Linked DNA regions of Arabidopsis thaliana. The protein of the gene in region 1 interacts with the protein of each later gene in a pairwise test. Each region holds a gene or a part of one and is shown in the gene's direction. Other genes may lie near its edges. The genes, in order: FTSZ2-1, RPL12-A and PARC6.

The links.
Region 2: the proteins of FTSZ2-1 (region 1) and RPL12-A interact in a protein complementation assay, tested with the Arabidopsis thaliana proteins (one study listed by BioGRID).
Region 3: the proteins of FTSZ2-1 (region 1) and PARC6 interact in a two-hybrid assay, tested with the Arabidopsis thaliana proteins (one study listed by BioGRID).

What each region holds. Positions count from the first base shown.
Region 1 is NC_003071.7:15,196,060-15,202,624, reverse strand, and holds FTSZ2-1 (Tubulin/FtsZ family protein), read left to right. Parts: upstream 1-2,021; 5' UTR 2,022-2,156; exon of another isoform or gene 2,157-2,608; 5' UTR 2,609-2,692; coding exon 2,693-3,325; intron 3,326-3,490; coding exon 3,491-3,790; intron 3,791-3,875; coding exon 3,876-3,966; intron 3,967-4,267; coding exon 4,268-4,392; intron 4,393-4,594; coding exon 4,595-4,687; intron 4,688-4,769; coding exon 4,770-4,964; 3' UTR 4,965-5,256; downstream 5,257-6,565. Other genes in the region: AT2G36255 (Defensin-like (DEFL) family protein), read left to right, coding at 897-957, 1,045-1,223; AT2G36240 (pentatricopeptide (PPR) repeat-containing protein), read right to left, coding at 5,469-6,565. UniProt on the Arabidopsis thaliana protein: Exhibits GTPase activity which converts GTP ligands to GDP.
Region 2 is NC_003074.8:10,316,435-10,321,130, forward strand, and holds RPL12-A (ribosomal protein L12-A), read left to right. Parts: upstream 1-2,070; 5' UTR 2,071-2,141; coding exon 2,142-2,717; 3' UTR 2,718-2,718; exon of another isoform or gene 2,719-2,998; intron 2,999-3,046; coding exon of another isoform or gene 3,047-3,216; 3' UTR 3,217-3,486; downstream 3,487-4,696. Other genes in the region: MDAR4 (monodehydroascorbate reductase 4), read left to right, coding at 75-294, 380-498, 692-1,447; AT3G27831 (Gamma-thionin family protein), read right to left, coding at 3,047-3,216, 3,595-3,658.
Region 3 is NC_003074.8:6,630,627-6,638,515, forward strand, and holds PARC6 (plastid division protein), read left to right. Parts: upstream 1-2,010; 5' UTR 2,011-2,183; coding exon 2,184-2,486; intron 2,487-2,785; coding exon 2,786-2,899; intron 2,900-2,976; coding exon 2,977-3,114; intron 3,115-3,189; coding exon 3,190-3,294; intron 3,295-3,385; coding exon 3,386-3,508; intron 3,509-3,718; coding exon 3,719-4,087; intron 4,088-4,189; coding exon 4,190-4,285; intron 4,286-4,429; coding exon 4,430-4,546; intron 4,547-4,954; coding exon 4,955-5,020; intron 5,021-5,105; coding exon 5,106-5,858; coding exon of another isoform or gene 5,859-5,921; exon of another isoform or gene 5,922-5,965; coding exon 5,966-6,156; intron 6,157-6,242; coding exon 6,243-6,327; 3' UTR 6,328-6,666; downstream 6,667-7,889. Other genes in the region: PREP1 (presequence protease 1), read right to left, coding at 1-147, 522-696, 963-1,248; AT3G19184 (AP2/B3-like transcriptional factor family protein), read left to right, coding at 6,929-7,075, 7,155-7,244, 7,448-7,482, 7,581-7,743, 7,835-7,889. UniProt on the Arabidopsis thaliana protein: Component of the plastid division machinery required for PDV1 localization to constriction sites. Involved in chloroplast division site placement. Required for the proper formation of FtsZ rings at the division site in nongreen plastids (e.g. etioplasts).

The sequences.
Region 1 (6,565 bases):
CCGAAAGAATTAGTATTAGTAATATATAAAGTTTGTATTGAATATGGGATGATGAAACGATCTAGCTTCCAGAAAAAGTCTTAATTACACAACATAATAATAACTACCAAACGTGTCAACGCTCCCGTATTCGTCCACTAACATTCTCCCATGAACCCTAAGTTATAAGTCCTCCAAGGCTACGATCACATTTACAAGCGGAAAATTGTTGTGTTTGATTTGTTTCTTGTTTTATTCTCACTCTAAGCCTCTGGTTATATAGCATTTTTTGGCGGAAAAGCTAATCGCAAAACATGAGATTATAATTATGCGACATGTCAAATTGTTATGAAAACATTTTATATAATAAGAAATTTATTTGGTATAGTATCATATGAAACAAAGAGTCAATACAATATCAATGTCATTATATGTGCTCATTATGTTAAGTTGAGTCAAGGCACTTTACTAAGAACACTTCAATAATTATATTTAACTATTTCTGTGTATTCATACGTATGATACAAGGTTTGGTGTTCTATATACTTTATCCTCATCCCTTGAATTTTAGTTGGGCCAAAATAATGACATTAAAATTATAATATGTTGCTATATAAAAAATTGTTACAATTTGGATGCAACATAGAGAGATCATTAGCGAGACATTGGGTGGATCGTGCAATTCATTTCTGTTTTGTCAACTAGCAATTCAAATTATGGCGACATTATATACATTAATCCATATTACACAAAAACTAATAAACTATATATGTCTTGGATTCAAATAGAAGAAATAAAAGTCAACGAGTTTGCCCTATAAATGATTCTATGCTTTCAAATAGTTAGCTACAAGCTCATCAATCTCTGCTCTATTAAAAAAAGAAGAAGAAGCAAACACAAAACAACAACAAAGAAATATGGCAAAGCTCATAGTTAACTTCTCTGCTCTCTTGATGATCATCTTGTTGGTTTCTAATGGTAATTTTAAGATTTTCTTAACTTCCTTTGTCCTATATTAATATCGATATGGATGTGAAAAGATTAATGTGAGAATGGTTAAAACAGGACTCCCAAAGGCGGTAGCCCAAACATGCTTTAAAGGTGAAGCTCAAGAGGGTGTGTGTGTTAAAGTTGACGGCTCAAAATTGTGTGACCTTCTTTGCAGGGCAACCAACACAACTTGGTTTGGGGCATGTGAAGTGGAAGACAACGAGACGCACTGTCACTGCTACGGACCTTGTTAAGTATCTCATCCGGACGCAAAACCAAATATGAAACGTGAATAATTGTGTATCAGTACCTAAATAATGTGTGCATTGCTTATGATCAATGTCACATATCTACATGTGTGTTCCATGTTTGTGTGTTTTTATTTTATCGCTTTCAATAAATTTGCATCAGCACCGTAAATGTAGCTGATGCGATAAATGAATGTAAGATTAAATCTGTTTATTATGTTTGCTTTTGGTGTTCCATTATCTCTCCTATATATATGTCCTCTTCTTTTTCTTCATTCTTGTCATTAATCTATATGTATGTGCTATTTTTTGTTGAACAAAGGCTAATGAGTCTTATCTATAACACCAAATCAACTCCTAATAGTAATAGAACTCTTAACCTAAACTCAAAAGAAGTAAAGTACAAGGAAAACTCTAATCAAAAGTTCAAAACCATATTCCTAAACCATGAAACATAAAGGAATATCACAACCTCGAAACTCTTTTGCCGTAACGACTAGAGTTGCTTTTTGTTTTTAGTTAATTCAAATGATGACATTATTGTTCCAACTATGTAATGTAGCCACCACATTTTTCTTGTAATTTTTTTTGTTTCCTTCATAAAATTCATTTAGCAAATTTACACAAAAAATTCAATGAAAGTACATGAAATGAAATTTAAAGTACAATCATTTCCCATAGTTTTTTTTCTTACCAACACCAACATAACAGTGATAAATTGGAACAAAATTTTACCAAAATAAAAATAAAAATTTTATGAACAAAAGCATTTTTTATATATTTTTTAATTATTGGGGGTTTAATGAATTTGAGATATTTACTAGTCAGAAAACACCAAAACCCTCCGTTTCGTGGGTTTCCTCCAGACCTTGAGCTCCTTGTTCAATTCACACTTTTTCTCTCCCAACTCTTCTTCCAGGTTTCCTCTGCTACTCTCAGGTTTCTCTTCTCCACTTCCCTCCAGCTTTATCCTTTTGATTTCGTCCTCCATCTTACTGTATTTACCCAAAAATCTAAGCTTTTCTCAGTGTTCTTCCATTTCTCTACTTTGTTTTCATGTAATGCTGCAAACTTCGCAATACCCATCTTCAATTTCTTCAATTCGTAATGGGAAAAAGCATTTTAGTTTAATTTGGGTTTTGTGGTTCCTCACTTGTTTCATTCTTCTAAGTCTTAAACCATCCACTGATTCTCAATTTCTGAGGATTTGATATCTATTGCTGGTTAACAATGGAGCATAGATGCGACTGGGTTTTGTTTATGTTAACTTTATGAATGTAAATCACACTGCTTTGTGGCTACTTTGTGGATTTCGTGTTTTACTTTGTGGCTGAATCATATAACTCTAAATTGAGAGCTTTGGGTTTGACCATTTAGCTTTTTATGAACAGGTCTTGTTAGGGAAGTAATCAGTGGAATTGGATTTAGTCTTTTGGTTCTGAATTTTGTAAAGTCCTGCAGTGATTGGTCTCATTATGGCAACTTACGTTTCACCGTGTTTTACTCCTTCGGATTCTCGGTTACTAACTGTTCTTAGAAAGAATGTTTTACCGGAGAATCATTTAGGCAGGTTGAACTCCATTAGAACGATTGACAGTAAGAAAAACCGAGTTGTTGTTGCCGCTCAGAAATCTGAATCTTCTCCAATCAGAAACTCTCCACGGCATTACCAAAGCCAAGCTCAAGATCCTTTCTTGAACCTTCACCCGGAAATATCTATGCTTAGAGGTGAAGGGACTAGTACAATAGTCAATCCAAGAAAGGAAACGTCTTCTGGACCTGTTGTCGAGGATTTTGAAGAGCCATCTGCTCCGAGTAACTACAATGAGGCGAGGATTAAGGTTATTGGTGTGGGAGGTGGTGGATCAAATGCTGTGAATCGTATGATAGAGAGTGAAATGTCAGGTGTGGAGTTCTGGATTGTCAACACTGATATCCAGGCTATGAGAATGTCTCCTGTTTTGCCTGATAATAGGTTACAAATTGGTAAGGAGTTGACTAGGGGTTTAGGTGCTGGAGGAAATCCAGAAATCGGTATGAATGCTGCTAGAGAGAGCAAAGAAGTTATTGAAGAAGCTCTTTATGGCTCAGATATGGTCTTTGTCACAGTATGTCCTCAAATCTTTATTATTACTATTGCATTTGTTCTTCTTAGTTATAAACTTTGATTGTAGAAAAAGAGGTATGTGTCATTTGTCAATCACTTATCAGCTAGTTCTGGTCTCCATCTGTCCAAAAGAGTGAGGTTTATATGTCTCTTCATCATTTTATAGGCTGGAATGGGCGGTGGAACTGGCACTGGTGCAGCCCCTGTAATTGCAGGAATTGCCAAGGCGATGGGTATATTGACAGTTGGTATTGCCACTACGCCTTTCTCGTTTGAGGGTCGAAGAAGAACTGTTCAGGCTCAAGAAGGGCTTGCATCTCTCAGAGACAATGTTGACACTCTCATCGTCATTCCAAATGACAAGTTGCTTACAGCTGTCTCTCAGTCTACTCCGGTAACAGAAGCATTTAATCTAGCTGATGATATACTCCGTCAGGGGGTTCGTGGGATATCTGATATCATTACGGTATAGCTTTTCTTATGGGCATCCTGTGATCATTTTTTTGTGTATGGCAAATGATTTACCAGCTACGTTTGTCCTTGATTTGTAGATTCCTGGTTTGGTGAATGTGGATTTTGCTGATGTGAGAGCTATAATGGCAAATGCGGGGTCTTCATTGATGGGAATAGGAACTGCGACAGGTAAGTTTGGAATGATGGATAAGCTCATTTAGCTGCATAGTTTCATAAGCAGAACCATTAGTCACTAGATATGTGTCGAAATAGTCTAATTGAACTAATGAGCTAGTAGATTGGTGTGGCAAAGAAACCAGTCTAGTGACTGGGATACTGAAAATGACCATATTATATTCACTGTTACTCAACTATTGTGCATCTATGTCATGATGTAATAATCAAAGTCATGAACCTTGAACTTCTTTTGCGCAAGGTTTTGTTTTGTTTGCAACGTGCTGATTCTTTCATGCTACTTGTAATCATTCAGGAAAGAGTCGGGCAAGAGATGCTGCGCTAAATGCAATCCAATCTCCTTTGTTAGATATTGGGATTGAGAGAGCCACTGGAATTGTTTGGAACATTACTGGCGGAAGTGACTTGACATTGTTTGAGGTTTTTGTCTCTCTCTCTCATCTTTGTTTCTTATCTCTATGTCGATAGATCCATAAACAATAACTGGATCTTGAGAGACGCATTGACAGGGTGTTAAAATCATTTATTTTCTTCCTTCCATAGACAACTTAGAGCAAAGCCTGATTTTGCTTCATACCCCTAAGATGCTCTATAGTTTTTCATACACTTTGGTCTTGTGTAGGTAAATGCTGCTGCAGAAGTAATATATGATCTTGTCGATCCAACTGCCAATCTTATATTCGGTGCTGTTGTAGATCCAGCCCTCAGCGGTCAAGTATGTCCTTTATAATGTTTCTTCTACTAAACATAGATAAGACCTCTAGAGATGATAGAATTGATGTTTTTTTTGGTAAAAGGTAAGCATAACCCTGATAGCTACGGGTTTCAAACGACAAGAAGAGGGAGAAGGACGAACAGTTCAGATGGTACAAGCAGATGCTGCGTCAGTTGGAGCTACAAGAAGACCCTCTTCTTCCTTTAGAGAAAGCGGTTCAGTGGAGATCCCAGAGTTCTTGAAGAAGAAAGGCAGCTCTCGTTATCCCCGAGTCTAAAGCCCAATCTAATCACTACCCTGCACACTGCAGCAATAACAAACGTGTGTGTACTGGTAGTCTGGTACTGCCTTCTGGGATACAGCAAGATGTGTTGATGTATGATCAAGAATCTGTGTGGGTGTGTATATGTTCTGTCACTGCCTCTGGTCGTGTTCTTGAATAGGTTGTTTTAGAAATCGGAGTTTCTCTCTATGTCACTTCCAAAACAAAAAAGGAGAAGAAGAATCACACTTCTCGAACCATAAACATACTTATAAGATTATGAGAGTTTTAGCAGAAATTATTGTCATTTTTCATTCAGTTAATAAAAAAATCAATAGCGATATACCAGCAAACAACTGTGACTTTCGAATAAAAAAAGTTCATCTCCGACGCATGATTCTGTGGCAATGTGCAGCAACCAAACAAAGAACCAACTTGGTTTCCATTTCATATGTTCAAAATAAAATTTGTTGATACATAGATATAGCTTGGGTCTAGTTTACACAGATCAAACACAGGTTACAACATCCGGACTTGTTTCCTTGAGAATTTTCCAGTGCAGGACAAGCCATCCATCAATCTATTATATGTAAAGATATCAGGCAACATATCTTTATCCAACATCTCGTTCACTAGAACTTCTCCTTCCTTTCTTCTCCCTTCTTTCGTGAACCCCGAAACCAAAACATGGTACGTTGTCTCATCGGGTTCATATCCTTTGCTTGATGCCAAAAGTCTCAATCTGTTTGCATCAGTAGAATGATCAGAACTGCAGAGATCCCGAAGAAGCAAGTTAAATGTCACACTATCGGGAAGAATTCCTGCATTCATCATCTTCTCCATAAACCCTGACGCTTTCTCTGTTCTTCCTGATTTCCTCAACCCTTCGACGAGTGTAGTACAAGCAATGAAACATGGGGTTTGGCCTTTCTTCCACAGCTCCTCCATCATCTCCATTGCTCTAACCGCCTTGTTTTCTCCGCAGAGTTTCTCAACCAAACTACCATAATCAAACTCACTAGGTAAAACCCTCTTGTTCAAAAGATCGAGCACCAATCCACAAGCATCGTCAACCCGACCTTCTCTACACAACCCATCAACAAGAATCTCACAAGTAGCTTCTGAGAATCTACAACCTAGCTCAATCATCTCATAAGCCATTTTAACACCTTCCTCGATTTTACCACTGCTCAAAAACCCTCTAATAAGAGTGTTGAAGCTAACCACATTCGGTTCACAACCTTTCTCCTTCATCTCCCTGAACAAATCCAATGCCAAATCAAACTTAGAGCTTCTACAATAACCATTGATGAGAATGTTAAACGTGCATACATCTGGCTTTGCTCTTTCCTTTCCCATCCTCTGGTAAAACCTTAAAGCCTTATCCATATCTCCAGATTTCACATATCCATTCACAACAGTGTTATAAACTCCAACATTTGGTTTACCATCGATCAATCTCTTCATAGTATCAAACGCTAACAAAGCATAATCCATTTTCCTAGCTCTACAATACGCATCAATGGCGGATCGGAAAATAGGTTCAAGCTCTGGACAAGAGAATATACCTGAGGAACAAGGACATGGATTCGCAGCTACAAAAGAGAGAAGACGAT
Region 2 (4,696 bases), on another chromosome or scaffold:
CTATTTTAAAACATAGAACATTAAACTGCTAAAGTTGTGGCCTTATTCTTGTCACATTTGGCTCGTGCAACTAGGCGTTGAAGCTTGAAGAATTTGGGGTGGAAGGCTCAGATGCTGAAAATGTTTGTTACTTACGAGATCTAGCTGATGCAAATAGGCTTGCCACTGTGATTCAATCAAGCTCCAACGGGAATGCGGTTGTTATCGGCGGTGGCTATATCGGTATGGAGTGTGCTGCATCTTTAGTGATCAACAAAATCAATGTGACGATGGTTTTCCCAGAGGCTCACTGCAGTAAGTTCTCTCGATTATTACTAAACTTACGTGTACGAGAGAAAGGTTGTGTATTTAGCTTGACCTTTTTAGTTTCTTATGACAGTGGCACGTCTCTTTACGCCCAAGATTGCAAGTTTGTATGAAGACTACTACAGGGCTAAAGGCGTAAAATTTATAAAAGGAACGGTTTTGACATCATTTGAGTTTGACTCGAACAAAAAGGTAAGATCGTTTCTTTTAGCTTGAGATTCAACTCGAAAAATGTCTGGTACGTTGCATCTATGTATACAACTAAGGATGGCAAGAATCAGTAGAACCACAGATACTTCTGGTCCAGTACTCAAACTATGAAATCTTGAGCCTTGTTCAATGTATTTGTTTATTGATATGAGGTTTTTTGGTTTTCGATTTACAGGTTACTGCAGTTAATCTCAAAGACGGGAGCCACTTACCAGCCGACTTGGTTGTGGTTGGTATCGGGATACGACCAAACACAAGCTTGTTTGAAGGACAGTTAACAATAGAGAAAGGAGGGATAAAAGTGAACAGCAGAATGCAGTCAAGTGACAGCTCAGTGTATGCAATAGGCGATGTAGCTACATTTCCAGTGAAACTATTTGGCGAAATGAGGAGGCTTGAGCACGTGGACTCAGCTAGGAAATCTGCGCGACACGCAGTTTCAGCCATCATGGATCCAATAAAGACCGGAGACTTTGATTACTTACCATTTTTCTACTCAAGGGTCTTCGCATTCTCATGGCAATTCTATGGAGACCCTACAGGTGATGTTGTGCACTTTGGAGAGTATGAAGACGGGAAATCATTTGGAGCGTATTGGGTTAAAAAGGGTCACCTTGTTGGATCTTTTCTTGAAGGAGGCACTAAAGAAGAATATGAAACTATCTCAAAGGCGACACAATTGAAACCAGCTGTGACTATTGATTTGGAAGAATTGGAAAGAGAAGGACTCGGGTTTGCTCACACGGTTGTGAGTCAGCAGAAAGTTCCTGAAGTTAAGGATATTCCGAGCGCTGAGATGGTGAAGCAATCTGCAAGTGTGGTCATGATAAAGAAGCCTTTGTATGTATGGCACGCAGCTACTGGAGTCGTTGTGGCTGCATCTGTGGCTGCGTTCGCGTTTTGGTATGGGAGGAGACGCCGTAGATGGTGAGGAAAAAAAAAACTCTTCAAGTGTTGGATTCATTGGAAATGGAACTTGCTGTTGTTTGTAGCATTGGTGGGAGAAATATAGAAGGGAGAGTCCAAACTACTCAATGTGATTACATTGGTATACGATTATTATATGCTTCTTTTAAAATGCATAAACGTTTCCACTACAAACTTTGATTCAACGTCTTTGAAGCCCTTTGTTACTTGTTAGTGTTCATAATCTTGTGATTATTGGTAGAGTTAATTCGGCAATACGGCAATACCCATAAAATTAGAAAAATAGCAATGAGGAGCTAGCTAACAAATAATTTTGCACACTTATTTAATTGTTATGACAGAAATCATAATTAATAAACAAACTAAATGTGATTAGAACAACAAGGGCGTTTGGTCTAGTGGTATGATTCTCGCTTTGGGTGCGAGAGGTCCCGAGTTCGATTCTCGGAACGCCCCTTTTTATTTTTTTAACTCCTCAACGTCAGGCCTCACGGGTATTTTCGTAAACATACAAACGATACAACCTCATCTATTTGTATATGCGCATGATAGCAAACGTACGCAATATTCTATTCCCCAAAATACCCCTTATCCATCATTTTTCTATCCTCTCATCTTTCATCTTCCTCACACACAATCCAATCAAAACACACAGAGAGAAGAAAAACTCAGAAGAAAAGCCAAAGAGTGAAACAAAAATGGCGTCGACGACTCTCTCAATCGCAACAACAATCCGTTCCTCATCTTATCCTACTCTCGCTTCCATCAATCACTTCCCTTCCCGAACCACCACCATCGAATTCCCCTCTCGCTTCGGTGGTGGTTCATCATCCACATTGACCCACCGTGCAACCCATCTCCGTCCAATCGCCGCCGTCGAAGCTCCGGAGAAAATCGAGAAGATCGGATCCGAAATCTCATCCCTAACCCTCGAAGAAGCTCGTATCCTCGTCGACTATCTCCAAGACAAATTCGGTGTCTCCCCACTCTCTTTAGCCCCCGCAGCAGCGGCGGTTGCTGCTCCAGCCGACGGTGGCGCGGCGGCTGTAGTGGAGGAGCAAACAGAGTTCGATGTGGTTATCAATGAAGTTCCGAGTAGTTCTCGTATTGCAGTAATTAAAGCTGTTAGGGCTTTGACTAGCTTGGCGTTGAAGGAAGCTAAGGAGCTAATCGAAGGATTACCAAAGAAGTTTAAAGAAGGTATCACTAAAGATGAAGCTGAAGAAGCTAAGAAGACTCTTGAAGAAGCTGGTGCTAAAGTCTCCATTGCTTAAGGTTTTTATAAAAAAAAAAAAAGAAGTTGTTATCTTTTCTGGAATTTGATTGGTCTTTTGTGTTGTTTAGTATAGTTTGCGTCTGGAATTGTTGAGAAATTGTTGTAATTTGAATCACATTTGGTTTCCCATTAGCTGATTTCGCCATTGATGTGAGCTTTTTGGTAGCTGCACATAACATGTTTGTTGAAATGCCTAAATGAGGCAAATCACTCGTAGTTGCTTAACATGAAACAGAGTTAAAAATAATAAGCACAAATGTCACTGCTACATTTTTTTACTTAGTATTGTAACACTCATGAAATATTTAGGATATATTATAAACGAGATCATGTATGAATACAAAAACACAGCATATTAACACCAAGTTTGAGGCATTGTCCACCTAAGAAACCTTGTTCTTTGCAGTGCTTATTGCAGTCCGGAAATTTTGAGCATAGACCTTCCACAAGGTACCACCCTCCTTGAGCTTTGGCCATAGATTTTGCGTGTACTTCACCTATCGTTTTCCAAAGATTGTTGTAATATTAGAAAAAAAGTCGTTACTCGTTTAGACATAAAGGCAAAAGAAAAAGAAAATTCACTCGACAAGAATCTCTTGCAGCTGGTAACAACGCAATATCACTATGTATTTTATTTTATTTTTTGTGATAACAAGTTAATATCACAATGTATTGTGAATCACAATGTATTGTGAAAATAATAGTGTATACAATATGTATGGAGATATGATCTAATGTCTGATATAAAATAAGTATTCGGTTTGCTAGTTAGTGTTGAGTGTTAACTCATGAATCTTGCTACTTTGGTTATACTTCAGTATATATGAATAAATTGAATTAAACAGAAAAAAAATATAAACGTTTTTTTGGCATACTTGGGGCGAGAAGAACAATCATGCATAAGAACACAAGGAAGGCGCATTTGCTTGATGAAGCCATTTTTGGTTTTTGTATTGTTTATTTTTCTAATATTTGCTAATGGAACACAATATTACTCAAAACCCTTATTAATATATATATATATATATCTGTATATATAGAGAGAGAAATATGATGAGTTTTTTACTTTGTAAATAAAATTGGATTCTTTTCTTATTTAATCTAGGATATTTTATTACATTTAAGTTATGGTTTTATTTTATATATATGAAATTTTTAATAATCATGATATGGGATGGGGTGGATTTAATTAGTGATGATTATAGGATTTAGATTCAATTTTTTCTATTAGTTTATTTTCATTATGATAACTTTAGGTATCCTACTATATTATTTAGGAAGTACATTTTAAATGTAACCTTAACTTTTGTAATTAATTACATGACAATGCCATTAGAAAAGTTTAATAAAAAAAATCCTTTAATGACGTCATTAAGGTTACCAAAATCATTTAACGACAATATTAATCTCTTAATTATAGGGTTTATTGGATCTACAGACGGGTTAGCAAAATATACTGAATATTCAAATATCTATCTGTTAGCAAATTATAAACAAATAAGTTCGTAAAAGAATTTCATATTTTATATACGAAATCAACTAAATCTTAATCACATAAAAATTAGCACAAAAAAAAAGTATTCAACCATTAAAAAATTATCAAATCTCTGTGTTATATAAGTTTTGATAGTATATTCGAATAAAGTGTAATATACCTTTTCAATTTGTATTCTTTAACTAATTTAAGCTAACTAATATATTTTCTAATCTTATACCTATCAAAACCGACTATCGTTTCTTATCTCTATAGTATTTTTGCAAGACTTTTTTGGTAGATTTGGGTAAAAGTGCATTCGGGTCATATGGTACATTCTCTATTAAATAAATATGGTGCACTCATATGTTATTAGCTAAAATGTTTAGATTATAATTCAGAGTCATATCATAAATAAAATTAATATTAATCAAATAAATGGCTTTTTGGCAAGACGGATTTGGAGGGACGGGTTTTTGAATCAACATTAATAAAAAAGTAAA
Region 3 (7,889 bases), on another chromosome or scaffold:
CAGGTCCTATCAGGATATGTGAATGCATTTAGAAAAGTATGCAAACTTCCCTTGAGTAGTTCAACAAATGGCTCTTTTACCGGGTACTTTCTTGACCCACATAGAACGCTATGTTCCAGTATGTGCGGAATGCCAGTGGAATCCTTCCTGCATTAACAACGAAACTATGATCTAAAATTGCTTCCATTATTAGTTTTTGCAAGTCTTTCACAAGGAGGTGCCTGTGGGACCAATATCTACTGAAAGTGCAGTTGCTCATATCGACTTTTAACAAAGCGTTAAGTAATTTGACAAGTTGTAACCTCCAAAACTTAGACCACTTTACAAGTACCAATATATTAGAAGAAGAAACGAAATGACTAGGTCTAATCAGAAAAAAAAAGCTTTGATGAGTAGAGATAAACTTGACCATTTCAATTAGTTAAATTCAAGGAGTGAAGCTTTAGGTACCAATTTCAATTGCCTAATACATACTCAGGTCAAATTTACAGAGAGTAAAAATTATTATGAAGTAAACTTACGGAGGAGTTCTGAAAACAACACCGAAGACCTTGTTCTCATCCTCATTTGACACAGACATCACCTCGCAACCAGTTTTCTTGTGTTTGAAGAGTATCGCCTTTGATTTACACTCTGAGATGAATTCTTCCGACACTTTTTCAAATCCAAGCTTCTCAGCCTCATCTTGACCTACATCTGAATCCAAACAACCAAAAATAAGGAAAATCACGCATCAGCAGAGGTTACACATGGCTCCATTTGATTACAAAGTAGACACAAAGCATGAGATGAAAAATGCACCACACGGACCACACCTATCTACAATTCACAACCTATCCTAAAGTAAGAACCACAATTTCACAAGTGCCACAAATCAACATGTCCGAATTAAGAGAACAAATCAATTAGCAATTAAACTTCAAACAGATTGAAAAAAAGAAGTATATGTGAAAAATTCCAACCAGGATAAAGTGGAGCGGGTTGTGTGGCGACGGCGCGAACAGAGAGGCGAGAGAACTGCCCATTGACACTGCGAACTGCGGCGGAGGGAATCCTCAAACCTCGTCGGAGCAAAAGACGTCTACCGGCGACTGAGGGAGAGGAAATTCGGCGAAGATTGCGACTGGGGACACGGAGAGCTGCCGTCGACGATGTGAGAGACATGTAAGAGCGAGGGAACTGACGAAAGAAGCGAAAGAATAGAGAGGACGAGCTGCGCGAAGCTAAACAAGAGACGGTTCGGAGCATAGCTACCGGAAAAAAAATATTCCCGGCGGAGACTGCTACTGACGGAGACGAAATTAAGGATATTGCAAAGAAGCTAAATAAACCCAACGGCAAGAGGTTTTATCCTTGTGTAGTTGTGTGTTTTTGCTTGTAGAGGAAAAAAGTAAAATAAAATAAAATGAAATACCTCATTTCTTGTACAACACACAAAATTATTGTGAAAAATATTCTCTATTTTACTAAATTGGCATTTTATTTTTCTGAATTTTTAAGTCGGGACAAAAAAGAGGTGCTGATTTGCAAGAAAGGAAACGTGGTTCTCATATAGCCAAATGTGTTTGAGTGTTGCAATTTGCTATCCTCCAAAAATATAATGACTACAAAATATCTTAAATCTTTTTTCATGATATTAAACTTAAGTGAAAGTATTACAAAATCTGATCAAGTTAAAAGTTTACACCAGACATATACTTTCCAGGTATTTGATTCAGAAAAAATCATATTGATCAGATTTAAACAAATTTTAAATTATATATAAGTTTTTTCTTACACACAAATTAAACCTTTGATCAGTACTAGACTACTGGTAGCATGCGATGAGCTTGCAGTAGTTTCTCTCGCACATTAGTTATGGGCCGAGAGCTAGGCCCATGTCCAGGGACGGATAAAATAATCTTCCAGATGTTTCTTTATTATCCACGTGGCGTGATCACGTGACCACGTCTCGTCTCGTCTAGTCCTAGATTAGCAGAGCCTCTCTTTCGGCCAGCGGGTTACCTTATTATCGTCACAAGACGAAACTTTCAGAAAAAGGCAAAAATCACTGTCAAAACTCAAAAGCCTTGAGACCAAATTTCCGATTTTTTCTCCTCTGAAGAAATCCAACAAATTGTACCATGATTCCAGCTTCACTCTACTTCTTCTAGGGTTCGTTCGTTTTCTGGAGCTGTTGCGCAATGCCAGTAGCTTACACATTTCCAGTTCTCCCTTCTTCTTGTCTGCTTTGCGGAATCTCCAATCGCAGCACCAGCTTCGTCGTAGATCGCCCGGAGCTTCAGATCTCAGGTCTCCTCGTCGTTCGTTCTGAATCCGGTGAATTCTTCGGTTCTGGTTTATCTTTGCGGCGGTTTCAGCGAGAAGGACGGAGGAGGTTGAATGCTGCTGGTGGTGGTATCCATGTCGTCGACAATGCGCCGTCTCGTACTTCTTCTCTCGCTGCATCTACCTCTACAATCGAACTCCCGGTTACGTGTTACCAGGTATTTTGCTCCGACTGACTTACTTTTCGGAATCTCTGTAGATACTACTATCTCTCGCGATTTGCTACTTAGCTCCTCGTTGAAGTGCAAGTGGAACTTGTTTTTATCCTTCTAAATTTTGTTGAAATAGAAACATTTTCCTCCAATTTGTAGTCTCTAGCGCGTAGAACGAGATGGATGTATTGATTTGGCAATTTAATATTGTATCATAGTTCATTTCTGCAATAGAGTGTAAAGAATGTAGCGTTTCGTTTGTTAGACATTATTCCAGGATACTGTTAATTGTATTGATTTTGCAGCTTATCGGAGTTTCTGAGCAAGCTGAGAAAGACGAGGTCGTTAAGTCGGTTATAAATTTGAAAAAAACTGATGCTGAAGAGGGTTATACAATGGAAGCTGCTGCAGCTCGCCAGGTTAAGACCTATAGTATCACTAGAGTTGGACAGGGAATGTGGCTTCAGTTTCTTGATACTTTGTTCTTAATGTGTAGGATCTTCTCATGGATGTTAGGGATAAACTTCTTTTTGAATCAGAATATGCTGGTAACCTAAAAGAAAAGATTGCTCCTAAATCTCCTCTCAGAATTCCGTGGGCATGGTTGCCTGGTGCTCTATGCCTTCTTCAAGAGGTACTACTTCTGACCTTTTATTGCGTTTTATCCCTGCAAATGTTTTGTACTGATCTTTCTGCTACTATGCTTCAGGTTGGACAAGAAAAACTTGTGCTGGATATTGGCCGGGCTGCTCTCAGGAACCTTGATTCAAAGCCATATATTCATGATATATTCTTATCTATGGCACTTGCTGAGGTAAAATCAAATGAACTAAGAATGGGAACTAGTTATCTACTTTCACTATCCTCTGCTTCTTCTATCTCTAATATGTTTGTTTTCCATTTAGTGTGCAATTGCCAAGGCTGCTTTCGAGGTTAACAAGGTCTCTCAAGGATTTGAAGCTCTTGCTCGTGCTCAAAGTTTTCTGAAGAGTAAAGTTACTCTTGGGAAACTTGCATTGTTAACTCAGGTAACAGGTTCTACTGTCTTGCATTAGTATATATAAAGCTTCTCTGAGTTTACTTTTAGCCCTGTTACTGGCTTGAATTATTAAAAGTGCATGATCATGCCTTACTGTAAATCGCATCATGTTTAGGAGCTTCACATATAAGTACGTATTGTCCAAAAGCATAATTTACCAGCATATTGGGTTTTAAGGGGTTAAAATTGATATTTATAGATTGAGGAGTCACTAGAGGAGCTTGCACCACCTTGCACATTGGATCTACTGGGCCTGCCACGCACGCCAGAAAATGCAGAGAGGAGGCGAGGTGCAATTGCCGCGCTACGCGAACTGCTCAGACAGGGCCTTAGTGTTGAAGCTTCATGTCAAATTCAAGACTGGCCATGCTTTTTGAGCCAGGCAATTAGCAGGTTATTGGCCACAGAGATTGTCGATCTTCTTCCATGGGATGATTTAGCCATTACACGGAAAAATAAAAAATCACTGGAATCCCACAATCAAAGAGTTGTTATTGATTTTAATTGTTTCTACATGGTGTTACTTGGTCACATCGCTGTTGGATTTTCAGGCAAGCAAAATGAAACGGTATATCTCGTTTTCTTTCCTTTTGTTAAATTTAGACTGATTGGTCCATTTCTTCTCTACTCTATCTGCTTATAAAGCATAACATTCAGTATGCTTGTGTAGATTAATAAAGCAAAAACGATATGCGAATGTCTCATAGCATCAGAAGGTGTTGATCTGAAATTTGAGGAAGCTTTTTGCTCATTTCTTCTAAAACAGGTATTTTTCCTCTTGCTTTCTTTATTCTTTTTCCCTATCAACTATGCTTGTGCATCTTATTTACTTCAAGTTCACTTGCTTCGAAAGATCCTTGCGTTGTTCATTTAGTTAAGTGCTACTGGACCTACATGTTGGATAGCACAGGGTTCCGAGGCAGAGGCCCTGGAAAAACTTAAGCAGCTGGAATCAAATTCAGACTCTGCCGTTCGTAATTCGATCTTGGGGAAAGAGTCGAGAAGTACTTCTGCTACTCCCTCACTGGTAAACCTTATGATTTTTACCAAGAATATGTGTTCATTTGTTGCTACGACTAGAGCGAGGGCTATGCCTGATGTAAATGGCATGATCAACTCTAGTGGAGTATGAATAAGTTTGAGCTATGTTTCAGGCTGTAATTGAAACAATGGAAATAGATACATTTAGTGGATGGTAGTTAAATTCATAGAATATGCTTTAACAGCATTGTGTATGCCTGCCGTTAACATTTTCTTTTTCGATTGGTTGTACATACACATAAATCTTAATATTTGTTTGAGTAAGCCCTTGGGTTCATGCACTAAATTTAATTTGGAAATTTTGCAAGTATGTACATCTCTTCGCTAGCTCTGATTTTTTTTCATAGAAAGATTGATAGCGACCTTCATACATGCTACCTATAAAATTGACCAGGAAGCGTGGCTAATGGAGTCCGTGCTTGCTAACTTTCCAGACACAAGGGGTTGTTCTCCATCTTTGGTAAGAATCAGATCACTACTGGAAGATTCTGTATAGCAGTTCTATTTTTATGCAGAAAGATAATCATATATACAACTTTCTGCAGGCCAATTTTTTCCGGGCTGAAAAGAAATATCCAGAAAACAAGAAAATGGGGTCACCTTCGATCATGAATCATAAGACGAACCAAAGACCACTTTCCACAACACAGTTCGTGAACTCGTCACAACATCTTTATACAGCTGTCGAGCAGTTGACACCAACAGATTTGCAGAGCCCAGTGGTATCAGCCAAGAATAATGATGAAACCAGTGCCAGTATGCCATCTGTTCAACTGAAGAGGAACCTTGGTGTACACAAAAATAAAATATGGGATGAGTGGCTCTCTCAAAGCAGTTTGATCGGAAGGGTATCTGTTGTTGCTTTACTGGGTTGCACCGTGTTCTTCTCTCTGAAGCTATCAGGCATTAGGTCTGGTAGACTACAGAGTATGCCTATATCGGTTTCTGCTAGGCCGCATTCAGAATCAGATTCTTTTCTGTGGAAAACAGAGTCTGGGAATTTCAGAAAAAACCTTGATTCTGTGAATAGAAATGGTATCGTGGGAAACATCAAAGTGCTCATTGACATGTTAAAGATGCATTGTGGCGAACATCCGGATGCCCTGTATCTGAAAAGCTCTGGTCAATCAGCTACATCATTGTCTCATTCTGCGTCAGAACTGCATAAGAGACCAATGGATACAGAAGAAGCGGAAGAGCTTGTGAGACAGTGGGAAAATGTTAAGGCTGAAGCTCTTGGACCAACACATCAAGTTTATAGCCTTTCCGAAGTCCTTGATGAATCCATGCTTGTCCAGGTTACTGTTTCTATACATCTCCTATTATTCCTTTACTTAATTATGTTAGTTTACTACAGTTGAACATCAATGTTTAGGTAGAGTCAATATTTCTTTGTTTAATGCAGTGGCAAACATTGGCACAAACAGCAGAGGCGAAATCCTGTTATTGGAGGTTCGTTCTGCTTCATCTTGAGGTTTTGCAAGCACATATATTCGAAGATGGTATTGCTGGTGAGGCTGCAGAAATCGAAGCTCTTCTGGAGGAAGCAGCAGAATTAGTTGATGAATCTCAGCCCAAAAACGCAAAATATTATAGGTAAAAAAAAACATTTCGCTTTCGGGTTACTTTTGGACTGAGCTGGTATCTTCTTCACTGATGCAGCCTTTGTAAATTTCTTGTAGCACTTACAAGATCCGATATATTCTGAAGAAGCAAGAAGATGGATTGTGGAAATTCTGCCAAAGCGATATTCAAATACAGAAGTGAAAATCCCCCAGAAAAAAAAGCTCATCATCTAACTAAAGGTTGTAGCATCAACAGTAGAACATGGGATCATTTAGCTAACGGTTGTTCTTGTTTACCTAACGGTGTAGGAAAGTCTCAGGTTTGTTTCTTTATTCCTTAGTAACCCACAGGATTTGTCTTTGTAGATTCTTTTGATTTCAATGTGTTTATGGATAAACAAACTTCTTGAGTATTTTTTTTATTATTATTGTAAAGCGTTACTGATCAAATCAAATGTTTTCTTAAAATAGTTAAAAATATTAAGGGATCTCAAAATAATTGTTAATTATGGAGGGAAAAAAAAGAAACGTCTTTTAAGAAGCCCATACCTGCTTCACGTATCACGATGGAGGCTTACTCAGACCTTCCACTGTTGAGAATTTGAAATTTCAATTTGTTTGATTAGACACAATGATTAAGATTTTTATTACATAAAAAGAAAAAAAAAATTGGAGAAGTATAAACACATACATAGCGGTGAAAGAAGAAACCCAACGGTCACTCAAAAGCGCATTGAAGAGTCAAGCAAGACTTGGATCTGTCTCTTTCGTTTCTCTATCTCTGTTTCGGATTCCTAAGAGAAATGGTGGAATCGGAGCTAAGCTATGAACAGATTCGTTTGAATAGGGTGGAAGAGAACAAGAAGAGAATGGGGGAGCTTAATCTCAACAAGCTTGCTCAATCTCTTCGTGTCTCTTCTTCTTCTTCTTCTTCTTCCAAGCCCTCACCAGTAACGTTTCCTTTCTCTTCTCTTCTCATTTCTTCTTTTCTTTTTCTGAAATTAACCAATTTTTTTTATGGAAATGTAGGCAAAGCCAAGAACGATGCGTATTCCAGTGGATTTCTCGGAGGTCAGGAGATCAAGCCGTGCCAAAGGTCCACCTCCAAGTTATAAAGAGGTCTTTTACTACCATTTATCTTTACTTGAGTTTCCTTAAGGATTTCTTAAGGATTTTGTATGAGATATGAAATTTGTGGGTTTGATCTTTTTGTGCAATTTTTCTTAGTTATAATTTGCGTGAGTTGTTTCTCTTTTTTTTGAATAAAAACGTGAGTTGTTTCTCATTACTCATTATCAGAGTTATCTGATCCTTACTCGCAGTTTGGGCTAGAACCACTGGAGAGGAGGCCAAGAAGGTTGACCAATCCACACTCTCTATGAATACATTACTTCTCTTACACTATTTGATGTTTGTTTTCACTTTTCAGTATAAGTTATGTGTTTTGCTTTGCAGGAGCTCTCGAAGAAGAGATTTGCTGAATCGGGTATATGCTTCGGACGACGCAAGAATGTACGCATTCGACAGGGCAGAGAAGCTCCAGTCAAGCTTAGATTCAGAATATGCAAGCTTTACCAAACCAATGCTCCAATCACACGTGACCGGAGGATTTTGGTTGGTAAGTGAACAACTTGAACATTCAAAGATGTCTGAAACTCAGCCATAGTAGTATGTAAAAGTCCACTGATGTCATATGTTTTCGTAACCAGGGTTTGCCGCTTCCTTTTTGCAAGGCACATATGCCAAAACGTGATGTAATAATGA